Linked DNA regions of Neurospora crassa OR74A. The protein of the gene in region 1 interacts with the protein of each later gene in a pairwise test. Links are inferred from orthologs where the notes say so. Each region holds a gene or a part of one and is shown in the gene's direction. Other genes may lie near its edges.

The links.
Region 2: the proteins of NCU03116 (region 1) and act interact in binary tests that used the Schizosaccharomyces pombe proteins (3 or more experiments, as listed by UniProt). The link is inferred for Neurospora crassa OR74A from reciprocal best matches to the Schizosaccharomyces pombe genes rng2 and act1.
Region 3: the proteins of NCU03116 (region 1) and NCU06617 interact in a two-hybrid assay, tested with the Schizosaccharomyces pombe proteins (2 studies listed by BioGRID). The link is inferred for Neurospora crassa OR74A from reciprocal best matches to the Schizosaccharomyces pombe genes rng2 and cdc4.

The regions. Positions count from the first base shown.
Region 1 is NC_026501.1:4,613,323-4,618,534, reverse strand, and holds the end of NCU03116 (Ras GTPase activating protein), read left to right. Parts: coding exon 1-3,421; intron 3,422-3,508; coding exon 3,509-3,899; 3' UTR 3,900-4,416; downstream 4,417-5,212. UniProt on the Schizosaccharomyces pombe protein: Component of the contractile F-actin ring; required for its construction following assembly of F-actin at the division site.
Region 2 is NC_026505.1:5,085,439-5,089,569, forward strand, and holds act (actin, variant), read left to right. Parts: upstream 1-1,331; 5' UTR 1,332-1,667; coding exon 1,668-1,674; intron 1,675-1,814; coding exon 1,815-1,845; intron 1,846-1,991; coding exon 1,992-2,047; intron 2,048-2,165; coding exon 2,166-2,196; intron 2,197-2,274; coding exon 2,275-3,046; intron 3,047-3,110; coding exon 3,111-3,341; 3' UTR 3,342-3,342; exon of another isoform or gene 3,343-3,411; 3' UTR 3,412-3,809; downstream 3,810-4,131. Other genes in the region: NCU04174 (hypothetical protein), read right to left, coding at 4,084-4,131. UniProt on the Schizosaccharomyces pombe protein: Actins are highly conserved proteins that are involved in various types of cell motility and are ubiquitously expressed in all eukaryotic cells.
Region 3 is NC_026504.1:1,814,779-1,818,223, forward strand, and holds NCU06617 (myosin regulatory light chain cdc4), read left to right. Parts: upstream 1-1,447; 5' UTR 1,448-1,578; coding exon 1,579-1,581; intron 1,582-2,122; coding exon 2,123-2,276; intron 2,277-2,350; coding exon 2,351-2,584; intron 2,585-2,671; coding exon 2,672-2,700; 3' UTR 2,701-2,945; downstream 2,946-3,445. Other genes in the region: NCU06616 (S-adenosylmethionine-dependent methyltransferase), read left to right, coding at 44-57, 145-1,084. UniProt on the Schizosaccharomyces pombe protein: Involved in cytokinesis. Required for the formation and function of the contractile ring.

The DNA.
Region 1 (5,212 bases):
AGACGGAGGAGGAACGCATTGAGAGGGAACTGGCCGAAAACGAAGAGGCCATTGTAGAGTTACAAGCCCAGGCCAGAGCGGCGCTTCAAAGGATACAGCTTGGCTACACTATGCAACATCTGTGGGATAATGAAGACTGGATCATTGATCTCCAGTCTCGTATTCGTGGTGACTGGGCTCGCCAGGTGGCGGATTACAGGCTCCAGATGAAGAATTTCGCGGTCCAGCTTCAAAGCGCAGCGCGCGGTTTCCTCGCCCGCTATCGACATGCAGAAACAAAGGCACAAACAAGTTTTGCGATCGAGTTGCAGAAGACAGCTCGTGGATTTATCGCTCGTCAGCAATATGCACAAACATGTTTCACGATTCAGCTACAAAAAGCGGCGCGTGGATATCTTGCTCGTCGCCAGCAGACACAAACCGAGGAGCAGTTCAAGGGCAACGAGGATGTGGTCTTGAAACTCCAAAGTATGGTCAGAGCGGCCAAGGTCCGCAATGTGATTCGGGAGCAGCATTCACAGTTGGAGACGGCAGCGGGACCCCTGCGAGACATTCAAGCAACATTTCGAGGATTTCTGGCTCGAAAGCAGCTCGCTGTGCAACATGAAAAGACAGAGAGCGAAGGCGCTACGATTGCTCAACTTCAGAGCGCAGTTCGTGGTATGATATTGAGGAAGAATCTGGAGGAAGAAAGAGCATCCTTGGAGAGCAACATCGAAGCCATCACTAGTCTTCAGGCTGCTGTAAGGGCCATGAAAGCAAGAACTGAGGTCGATGCCCAGCTACAAGCGCTTGAAGGCTTTGCGCCACAATGGACAGCTATTCAAGCTGCCTTCCGCGGCAAGGTTGCTAGGTCCGACGTCGACGCTACTAAAGAAGAGTTGCAGAAGCATTCAACTGAGATGGGCCTTCTTCAGTCCCACATTAGGGCAGCGGCAGTGCGGAGGGACATATCAGAGCAGCTTGAAAGCATCGGGGAAACGGAGGATGCCATCATTGATCTTCAGTCTATGGTCCGAGGTATGCTTGAACGTATGAGGTTATCGGACGATCTGGATGCTCTTACTCAGGAGACACCAAACATCATTGACCTTCAAGCACACATCCGCGGATGTCTTTATCGCAAGGAGTGTGGCGAGTTGTTGGATGAGCTTGCAGTCAATACCGAGGAGATCACCGAACTGCAAGCCCTTGCTCGGGCCATGTTGCTTCGGAGCGATGTTGCAATGGTCTTGGATGAACTGGAACAAAACGAGGAGTCTGTAGCGGCGTTCCAGGCTGCTGCCAAGGCTTTCGTGGTCAGAGCCAAGTACGAGGAGAAGAAGCGCTTCTTCCGGGAGAACATGCAAAAGGTTGTCAAGATTCAGAGTTTCGTACGAGCCAAGCTTCAGGGTGAAGCCTACAAGAGCTTGACATCTGGAAAGAACCCACCAGTCAACGCCGTCAAGAACTTTGTCCATCTTCTGAACGACAGCGATTTTGACTTCAATGAGGAGGTAGAGTTTGAGCGCCTACGAAAGACTGTTGTCCAACAAGTTCGGCAAAACGAGATGCTGGAACAATACATCGACCAGCTAGACATCAAGATCGCACTTCTCGTCAAGAATAAAATTACCCTTGATGAAGTTGTCAGACATCAGCACAACTATGGCGGACACGCAAACAGCCTTCTCGCCAACAGTGTTATTTCAAATGCTAATCAGTTTGACCTCAAGGCTTTGAATAAGAGTTCCCGCAAGAAGCTTGAGTCCTACCAGCAGCTGTTCTTCACCCTTCAGACGCAACCTCAGTACCTTGCTAAGCTCTTCAGGCGTATCCGCGAGCAAGGAATAACGGAAAAGGAGTTAAAGCGGATTGAACACTTGATGATGGGGCTGTTCGGCTATGCGCAAAAGCGGAGAGAGGAATACTACTTATTGAAGCTTATTTCCAGGTCGATAAGGGAAGAAGTCGAAGCATGTGCCGCTCTGCAGGATTATCTGAGGGGCAACTACTTCTGGACCAAGCTGCTCCAGAATTACACCCGATCCCCTCGTGATAGGAAATATCTCAGAGATCTCTTGGGACCCCTCATCAGAGACAACATTATCGAGGATCCAGCGCTGGATCTTGAAAGCGACCCCATGCAGATCTACCGGTCTGCTATCAACAATGAGGAGTTGAGGACCGGTCGGCCCAGCCAAAGACCTCTGGATGTCCCTCGTGAGGTTGCCATCAAGGATCCTGAAACCAGAGAGCTCTTCATTGATCATCTGCGGGATCTCCGAGAGATCTGCGATCAGTTTCTCCTTGCCCTGGAGGACCTGCTTCCCCGCATGCCCTACGGCCTGAGATTTGTGTGCCGGCAAACGTACGAAGCTCTCTGCCAGCATTTCCAGAGGGACCACCCGCAAAATGTGCTCCAGTTTGTAAGCAACTGGCTCTGGCGCTTCTACCTCCAACCTGCTCTCCTTGGCCCAGAGTCATATGGAGTCACGGAAAAGCAAATGAGTCCCCTCCAGAAGCGTAACCTCGGCGAGGTTGCAAAAGTCCTGGGCCAGATTGCATCAGGCAGACCATTTGGCGGAGAGAACATCTATCTCCAGCCTCTCAATGCTTTCGTCGCCGAAGCAATCGAGCGCTTGGCTCACATCACCAATTCCCTTATCGATGTACCTGACGCTGAGAAGACATTCGACATTGACGAGTTCAACGATCTCTACGCCAAGAACAAGCCAACACTGTACATCAAGATGGCGGATATCTTTTCCATCCACAATCTCATCGCTGCCGAGTTGCCTTATCTGTGCCCGAGCAGAGATGATATGCTGCGCGAGATCATTCAAGATCTCGGTAACGCCAAGAATAATGAGAATGAGATGACCGCAGGCGGGGCCGCTGATATTCAGCTGTTCCTGACTCCCAAACTGCACGATATGGAGGATCCAGAAGCTGAGACTAAGGGGCTGTTTATGGAGACCAAGAGGTGCATTCTGTACATCATCCGGGTGCAAACGGGTAACAACCTGCTTGAGATTCTTGTCAAGCCAATTACCCCGGAGGATGAGCAGAAGTGGAGGACAGTTCTGCGCGAAGACTTTGGTGACGACTCGAACACCCGAGGCGCTTATTCGGAGGCGAACATGATTGATGTTACGCGCATGAGTTACTACGACCTAAAGAGGACAGCACTCGAGAACATCCTCAGGTTGGAGCAGATGGGTCGTATCTCCAAGCAAAACTACTACCAGGATATCCTCAACGCCATTGCGCTGGACATTCGCACAAAGAGCAGGAGAAGGGTTCAGAGACAGAGAGAGCTCGAGGGTGTCCGTCAGACACTCGGCAATCTTCACGAGAAGGCAAAGTATCTGGAGCAACAGCGCAAGAGCTACGATGATTACATCGAGCAAGCCATGGCTACGCTGCAGAACAAGAAGGGGTACGTACATCATCACCATCACCAATGTCTCCTCCCATCTCTGGTGGTTCGCATGCTAACAAGTCCTTACTTACCCCCCACCTACAGCAAGAAACGTTTCCTTCTCCCCTTCACCAAGCAATACAACCACCAGCGCGAGCTCGAGCGCTCCGGCCGCGTCCCCAAGTTCGGCTCCTTCAAGTACTCGGCCCGCGCCCTCTCGGACAAGGGCGTGCTGGTCTCGTGGACGGGCATCCCCGAGCGCGACTGGGGTCAAATCAACATCACCATCTCGTGCGACGAGGTCGGCATTTTTAGTCTTGAGGGCAGCCGCGGCCACATCCAGATGCCCGGTGCCAGCGCCCTGGTGCCCATCGAGGACTTGCTACAGGCGCAATTTGAGGCGCATCAGTTTATGAATTTGTTTGAGGGGCAGCTGAGGCTGAACGTGAATTTGTTGTTGCATTTGTTGTACAAGAAGTTCTATCGGACTCAGTAAGTGAGTAGGGTGCGGGAAAGGGGAGGGGAGGGGGTTATTAGAAGAAGTAAGTGAGAGTCGAAGTGTAGAGAGTATCATGGAAGATTTGGGAGGAGGAGGAGGAGGGGAACTTTTTACGTCAGGGGAGGGAAGAGAGAGCACAGGATGGCATTGGATGGCATGCATTGATATCTCTCTCAGCCGGCTGGCTGGCTGGCTTGGGTTACTTACTTACTCTCTACACAGTCTATCGCTTTGCATTTGAATGCATGGACGGATGGACGGACAAACGGTGTCTTATGAGGATTACCAGTGTTGATGTTTGTCTTTGTTATTCGGTTTGGAGAAGGTTGTGAGATTTTTTTTATTTTTACCTTTTTGATTGATACCACCAAAGAACTTTATTGGGTTTTCTTTTCATTGTAGCCTAGGTTATATCACTCTTCCTTTCTTTTCTTTCCCTCATTCATACTTATTTGTTGAAACCGAGTTGTTGTGATACTCAAGCTAAGAAGATCCAAAGTAAAGGCTGCATCGCACTACATTTTATCGATCATGTAGTCATGGTAGGGTATGCTGTGGTATGATATATGCTCTCTATAGCTCAACAGCCTGATATCCTCTTTTCCTCTTTTCTTCCCCCCACCCCCCTCCGTAGCTTCTTCCAAAGTCTTGCTGCGATTGACCAATCTCATCATTCTCTCTGCCACTCACCTCTATAAAGCAATGTCCAGGCAATGCAAGAAAAAAAAGAAAAGCAGAAAGATGTATAACAGATGCACACGATGCGAGAACAATAGAAGATGGAAAATGGTCTAACAGTGATACGCACATACATCCAGGAACACGTGTAGAAAGAAGGATGGAAAAGTGAAAAGTATATACAAGAGCAGAAGCAGCACAAGGACGCGAGCGCGTGAATGAATGAATGGTAGGACGGACGAATAAGATGATAAGAAAGCAAGAAAGGTAGGTAGTGAAGAAGAAGGGGAAGAAGCTAAAAGAAGGAAGGGGGGGATGGGGAAAAGAAAATGGATAATCAAACACTAAAGATAAACATTACATCAAAGAGACAAAGGTAGATAGATAAACATGAGAGGAGAAGGAGAAACAGTTGAGATCGGTCAATCCTCTCCCCCTTTGATTTTCTCTTTCTTTCCCTCTCTTTTTTTTCTTCACCTTGGCTCCTCTCCTCACGCCCCCAACCAACACTTCAGTATCCCAACCTTTTTTTTCTCCAAGTTAAACAAATCAATCCACAAAGCTATAACGACCCCCAACTATACAACCGCCAGACTGTCCGTTGTCCTCCCATCGATCCGTCCCTCCGATCA
Region 2 (4,131 bases), on another chromosome or scaffold:
TGGGTGGTGGTGGTTGTGGTGGTGGTGTTGGACTGTGGCAATACCTCGTTCTCATCCCCAATGAGATGGCGTTTCCTTGGAAATGACACCGCTGCTGGAGGTCCCCGTACCGTATGGACCCAAGTGGTGCATACCGTAGGCTACATATCTATCTCCGTCGGATCCCGGACCGGGGCGGCCATGGAGCCTTCAAGACACTCGGGCCCCGGGGCCATGGGAATTGCGATCCGGACAAGCTCCAAGAGATCGTGATCAGCCAGGCTCCAACAGAAGAGACGGTAAAGAAGACATTGGATCTTCTGGAATTGCAATCGCGGTTCTCCAGGAGGAGTAATAAACAAGTAATGAACGGGGTACGACAAGGGACAGCGACCAGGTACGACGGCAACGACGCAGGGGAGGGACATTAGGTTGAAGAAGACTGAACGCTGACACAACGTCGGGGGCGGACCCAGCCACGCACCACGCTCCCACCGTGCTCACTAGGTACTACCTACGCTACGTACAACTGAACCGTCTGTCTAGCTGCACCCGTCGAACGGCACGCAGCGGTGACGACCCCGGCCGTGCTGCGATATGATATCCTTTTACATAGTATACAAGTCAGGTCGTGTAGGTATCCAATGTAGTTAGGTAGACTGAAATCAAAGGGGATCTTGAACGGGCTGCCAGTTGCCAGACGGGCATTGATGTCAACCTAGACGTCGCCTCCGAGGTGCGGAAGCCTCCCAAAGTGTGTTGGCGGCAGGAAGATCCCCTTTGCCCTCCCAAAATTAGGCGGTGTCTCCTACCCACTTTCCAGACGGATCGCAGGCCACTCAGGAATCCACCTTGAGCCACCTCGAATCAGGCATGATACTGCGACTTGACAACTTGTCCACGAAGATGCCAGAGGGCAAGGGGGCGGTGCGGCCAGTGATTTGATGATTTAGAGTAGGGGTGTGGAAAGCGAACAGCGAGGGAGAGGGGACGGCCTGGGAAGAAGGCAGCGCAGTTACCTCTAGGTTTGTACTTGTAGTCTACTGTGGTGATCCATCCCGTCGTGAACCGGGCAACATGGAGTGCAGGCAGCGCAGCAGCCCGGCGAGGATGAAATGAATGCTTGTTGGGACCTGGAAGTCGGCCGGGCACTCACTGTCAGTACCACTCAGTGACATCGGTGTCGTCCTTGCCCGCCTTTCCTTCCTCCTCCTCCTCCTCCTCCGCCGCCAAGTCCCACAACCACGCCGTGAGGTGACCAGGCCCAGTCCAACCAACTGGACCTAGCAGCCAGCAATGCCCAGTGCAGACAGTCCCGGCCCAGTCCCGTCCCCAATGGAATCAACCGTCCCCTCCCCTCCCCCCCCCAGTCCGCCATCCGTTCCCTCGCACCTGGCACCACAGCAATCCCATCCCCTTACCTCCCCTACCTTTACCCCCCTCAATCCACCCGCCGCCTCGTACTCCCAAAGCTGACCTTAAATTCACCTCCCCTTTTCCAACTCTTCCGCCTACCGAACAACATCCAAATTTTTGCCCAAACAACGTCTCTACGTCCTTCGGCAACACCTCTCTCAGCCAAAGCATCATCGCTCCATCGATCCGGGAATCGTCGAGCGTATTTAATAACTCTTCTTCTGTACCTTTTGCTTAATCCGACACTTTTCGTCACCACCTAATCTATCACAATGGAGGGTACGTAACAACATGTCCACATTCCTGCCCAGTCTGCCCGCGCTGGCGAGCTGGTCGCCGGCGGATCGGACTTCTACCATCGCCATCTCCCTCTACTGGTTATCATGGGCACAAGCTGATTCATGCGTTCCCGCCAACAGAAGAAGTTGCCGCCCTCGTCATCGACAATGGGTAAGCTTTCCCCTCCTTTTCGCCTGCGCCTCACCGACTCCTAGGAGAAGCGTCATATTCCTCCCGCAATCGACGCCTCGCGGCCCCCCCATAGCCCGTTCTACATGGTGAACAATGACGATGGACAGTAGCTAACAACCGCCCAGTTCGGGTATGTGCAAGGCCGGTTTCGCCGGTGATGACGCCCCCAGAGCTGTTTTCCGTAAGTGTTCCCACTATTCCCGCGAGGTGCTCTTGCTTGAGACGGGCAACGTGTCAGCAGAGCTACTTGCCTCCCCGCCAAGACCCAACGTCCCAGCCATGCTAACATGTCGCGATAGCTTCCATCGTCGGTCGTCCCCGTCATCATGGGTATGCATGCCACTTTCCCCCCCGCGTCCCGTGCGCGCAACACTCCAAGACTTTCAGAAAAAACTGACAACATGCCAGTATCATGATCGGTATGGGCCAGAAGGACTCGTATGTCGGTGATGAGGCTCAGTCCAAGCGTGGTATCCTTACTCTCAGGTACCCCATCGAGCACGGTGTCGTTACCAACTGGGACGACATGGAGAAGATTTGGCATCACACCTTCTACAACGAGCTCCGTGTCGCCCCCGAGGAGCACCCCGTCCTTCTTACCGAGGCTCCCATCAACCCCAAGTCCAACCGTGAGAAGATGACACAGATCGTTTTCGAGACTTTCAACGCCCCCGCCTTCTACGTCTCCATCCAGGCCGTCCTTTCTCTCTACGCCTCCGGTCGTACCACCGGTATCGTCCTCGACTCCGGTGACGGTGTCACTCACGTCGTCCCCATCTACGAGGGTTTCGCCCTTCCCCACGCCATTGCCCGTGTTGACATGGCTGGCCGTGATCTTACCGACTACCTCATGAAGATTCTCGCTGAGCGTGGTTACACCTTCTCCACCACCGCCGAGCGCGAAATCGTTCGTGACATCAAGGAGAAGCTCTGCTACGTCGCTCTCGACTTCGAGCAGGAGATTCAGACCGCTGCCCAGAGCTCTTCTCTCGAGAAGTCCTACGAGCTTCCCGACGGTCAGGTCATCACCATCGGCAACGAGCGTTTCCGTGCCCCTGAGGCTCTCTTCCAGCCTTCCGTCCTTGGTCTCGAATCTGGCGGCATCCACGTCACCACTTTCAACTCCATCATGAAGTGCGATGTCGACGTCAGGAAGGATCTCTATGGCAACATTGTCATGGTAAGTCCCCGTTCGCTGTGGAGATGGCAGTATAGGCTAGGTCCGCTAACAGAATCGTCACTAGTCTGGTGGTACCACCATGTACCCTGGTCTCTCCGACCGTATGCAGAAGGAGATCACTGCTCTTGCTCCTTCTTCCATGAAGGTCAAGATCATTGCTCCTCCCGAGCGCAAGTACTCCGTCTGGATCGGTGGTTCCATTCTCGCCTCGCTCTCGACCTTCCAGCAGATGTGGATCTCCAAGCAGGAGTACGACGAGAGCGGTCCCTCGATCGTGCACCGCAAGTGCTTCTAAAGTGGGTGCCCTTGAGAGGTGGTTGTTGCAGTTGGAAGCGGAGCGTCGTCGGCTTACACCATGTATGTAGTTCAATAAATGGACAAATCCACGACTGTCACGAGCCAGCGCCAACTGGGGACATAACACCCCTATCTGCGTCAAGTAGCATGTCTGCATTGCGCGTGTATTCTGCACAGGTCTCTCTTATACAAAAAGTAGCGAGCGTGGTCAGAAGGGGGCTGGCGTCTCTTTTCTCTACTAGAAGACATAAATAATGGCCTTTTTTTTCTGTTTTCTGGGTGGGCGGCGACGGCTGCGAATGCGTGGGATAGGCGCGGTCAAGTATGCGGGCTTCTTGATCTTGCCAACACCCTTTCTCTATTTACTACACTTTTAGCAGCAAGATTTAGTCACCACTGGGAAATTCGAGGTTATCGTGGATGAAGAGATCATCAAAATTCAAACAGCGTTCTGTATTTCTGAGCACCTTCAGCTGCCCTTTCGTTGGTCGTGAGATACGTGCAAGCCAAGGAGAAAAGGGGAATTGCTAGCCGTCAAGGTATCGGATCCACCGTAATGTCTTATTGACTTGAAGGGGAGGCGGCCATACCTACCGAATCCAACTAAGCGATCCTCACCGCTTCAGGAACCGAGTAACAAGCAGCCGTTTCCTTATGATCAAACATGGCCAGGATTGCAAACCAGTGGCAGAAACCACAGATGGCTTTTCGCTGACACAATGGGTAGGTATTCTTACTGTCTAGTGTCTACCGCCATCCGCATTGTTTCCTCCGCGCTTCTCAGCCTT
Region 3 (3,445 bases), on another chromosome or scaffold:
CACTGTTTGTGATTTGGTGCGTTTGTTTGGGTGGTCTTTGAGAATGTCCATCTTCGGGTAAGTCTCCACCTCTTGTTTACATACTTGCCTACTGACAGCATTGGCGCATTGCTTACTGTAATCATTGACATGTTTCCACGATAGCCGCTCGACGTTCTCCTCTGCTGGGTATGCTGCCTTTCGGCCCTCATATCCCTCGGTTCTTTACGACCGGGTGTTGAGATTTCACGGCAAAGAGGCCCCTTCCTCCCCATCACCATCGTCGTCTTCGCCGGCAGCTGGAACACTGCTAGACCTTGGCTGCGGACATGGCTTAGTGGCGCGCGCACTCGCTCCCTATTTCAACCGTGTTATCGCCCTTGATCCTTCGGCCGGCATGATTGAACAGGCTCGCAAGCTAACCGGCGACAACTCCAAGATTACGTTCAAGCAAGGCGGAGCCGAGGACCTTTCTTTCCTTGACGACAATGCCGTTGACTGTGTGGTTGCTGGCCAAGCGGCGCATTGGTTTGACTACTCCAAGGTCTGGCCAGCACTTGCACGGGTCGTGAAGCGCGGCGGAACCCTGGCTTTCTGGGGTTACAAGGACCACATCATCGTTGGGCGGCCGGAAACAACGCCCATCTTTGACAGGTTCATCTACGGCGAGACAGAGCCGGTGCCGGGCGTGGAAAGCATGATGTGCTTTTGGGAACAACCCGGCCGGAACATATTACGGGATTCACTGCGGGAGGTGGTCCCTCCCGAGAGGGAATGGGAACATGTGGTCCGTATTGCTTGGGATCCCAATCGTGAGACGGGCGACATTAGCGATGCTCCGGAAGAGGCCACTTGGTTGCGTCGGAGGCTCAAGTTGGGCGAGTTGGCGAGCTATATTCGCACGTTCAGTGCCTTCAGTGGTTGGGGAAGCGCCCATCCCCAGATGAAGTGCAGGGCGGACGGAGGAGAGGGCGACATTGTTGACTTGATGTTTGACGAGGTTGTTGCTGCGGTGCCGGAATGGAAAGCGGCGGGGGATCGATGGGCCGAAATCGAGGTTGATGCTATTTGGGGAACCGTTTTGTTGATGGCGAAGAGACGATGAACTGGAAAGGTAGTGTACAATTAAGTGTGGTGAAGAGACGATACTGTACAGTGGTGGTGGCTGACGTTGAACCTGCTATCCGGGCAGTATCACCGGCCCCCTTGCGTAACCAAGGTGCTCTCTGTCAGTAGATGTCTCTCTCGATTGAGCTAGCGGGCATGCAGTGCTGCTGTATCGCGAGTTGTCACCAGTGCCAGTGGGTGGTTGCCCTCCATTGGCTGCCACCGCGACCGGGATGCGGGCGCATAAGGTCGGGTACTGCGTAATGGCACAGACCAGTCAGCGCAACTCCCTGTCCGCAGCTCATTTCGCGGCGGGAAGGGAAGCCCAAATCGATCGCCCACTCCTTTTGCATCTAGCCTTGGTTCGCTTCTTGACCGTTCTTCTGAATAGCATCATCTTTCGCATCGAATCCATCAGCCAGCGTACTTGCATCGACTAGCCCTTGCGTCCTCTTTTGCGCATTCAAACGACATTCCCCCCCCTGAGACACAATGGTAAGTGGACCTGTCCCTGTTCATCCGCCGCGGGCACTGGCACGCGCGCGCGCCCCTCTCCATCCCTCCATCCCAAGTCCCAACCCCGACGCACGGAAACAGAAAGCATGCGAAAGCAAGAGCCAGGAACCCCGCGGTTGCCCATGACAACAAAGGCACAAGGTGCCACAACCTTGGAAGCCGCAGCGTTCTGCGTTGAATCGGAGCACTACCTGTAAAATGCGCCTGCGCCTGCGCCCGGCTTGAGCGTTGAGCTGCCAGGTCCTGCTTCGGCATCCATCCATCACAGACCAAAAAAACACCATTCATTTTGCCAACTTTCGATCGCATCGCTGCTCCCTTGCCGCTTGGGTTTCTGCGCCTTGTTCTCGCAACCATCGCCCTCGTCCTCTCGATTGCCGACTCTAGCACGATCGCAAAGCCAGCGCTTTTGCTTACGCTCAACCTACCGCGATTTACTACATACCCGCATTCTTGAAAGAACATTTCATTGCGACAGCGCAACTCAGGAATCATGGCATCTAACCAGTTCGACGGTCAGGCTTCTACCAACTACAAGGAGGCGTTCTCCCTGTTCGACAAGCGCGGCAACGGCCGTGTTGCCCTCGACAGCTTGGGTGACCTGCTCCGCGCTTGCGGCCAGAACCCCACGCTCGCCGAGATCCGCGAGCTCGAGAAGAACGTTGGTGGTGATTGTGAGTAATACCCGAGCGGAAACAAGTAGTTCATCTGAGATTAGTTACTAACAGATGCCCTTCTCATCCGACAGTCGACTTCGAGACCTTCCAGCGCGTCCTCAACCGGCCAGGTGGCTTCCGTGATCCCGGCGAGCCCGAAGAGTACTGCCGCGGTTTCCAGGTGTTTGATAAGGACATGACGGGTTTCATCGGCGTTGGACAGCTCAAGTACATCTTGACAAACCTTGGCGAGAAGATGACGGACGAGGAGGTAGACGAGCTCCTCAAGGCCGTTGATACTAGCTCCGGCCAGGTGAACTATACCGGTATGTCAGCCTCAGCACTTGCTGTTTGCTTGCCCTTTGCGTGAAACCTAGGAGTCTCGACTAACAATATGTGTACGACGCAAACAGAGCTTGTCCGGACCATCCTTGCCAACTAAAATATTGAGTAGAGGTGGTACGGAATGATGACGAGGGAAACTGGGTTTGGAGGTCAAACATCATGGGGCATAGTCGAATAGAAATCGCGGGACAAATCCGTCCACGGAGAAGGCGTCATATACCATCTATTACAGGGAAATCGCATGTGTTATAATCCAGGCAGGCGTCGGAGTCTTGATAAGATATGAATTTGGACATATCATTTACCGGGAACTGAAAGGCTTTCCGGACGTGTGTCTTAACCAACTACGCTAGATTGGGTTCCACGCCTGATCTTTCTTCCGTCCCCTTCTCTTGCGTGACGGAGGCGTGTTTCCAAGTATACGTTGTTTGCCCAGTACTCAGCAGTACAATATTCGTCATGAATCCCTTTTCGCTCTACTCGAAAAAGGGCTCGACCCTGTCAGTTTGCTTCGGGTAAGGCAAATGACATGAAACATCACAAAGGATGAATATGAGAAAACAAGGCCCTGGAGTTTGTATAGTCACTGGAAACAAGGCCAAACACGTTTCCGTCTTCCTTCGAATTCGGGCTCAAAGGGGATGTGGGGATTCCGATGTCCCTTTTCCGGCCTTCAGTCTGGGTACGGTCAGGAAGTGGAAGCAAGGTGTATCACTTGGCGGTATCTTTGGAGATGTTAATTCCTGTGTTGGATGACCAGAGAGGGGGTAACCAGTACTCAAATACTGCATTATCTAAAGCATCTATGTAATGTTCCTGCAGTAGACTGGTAACTTACAATG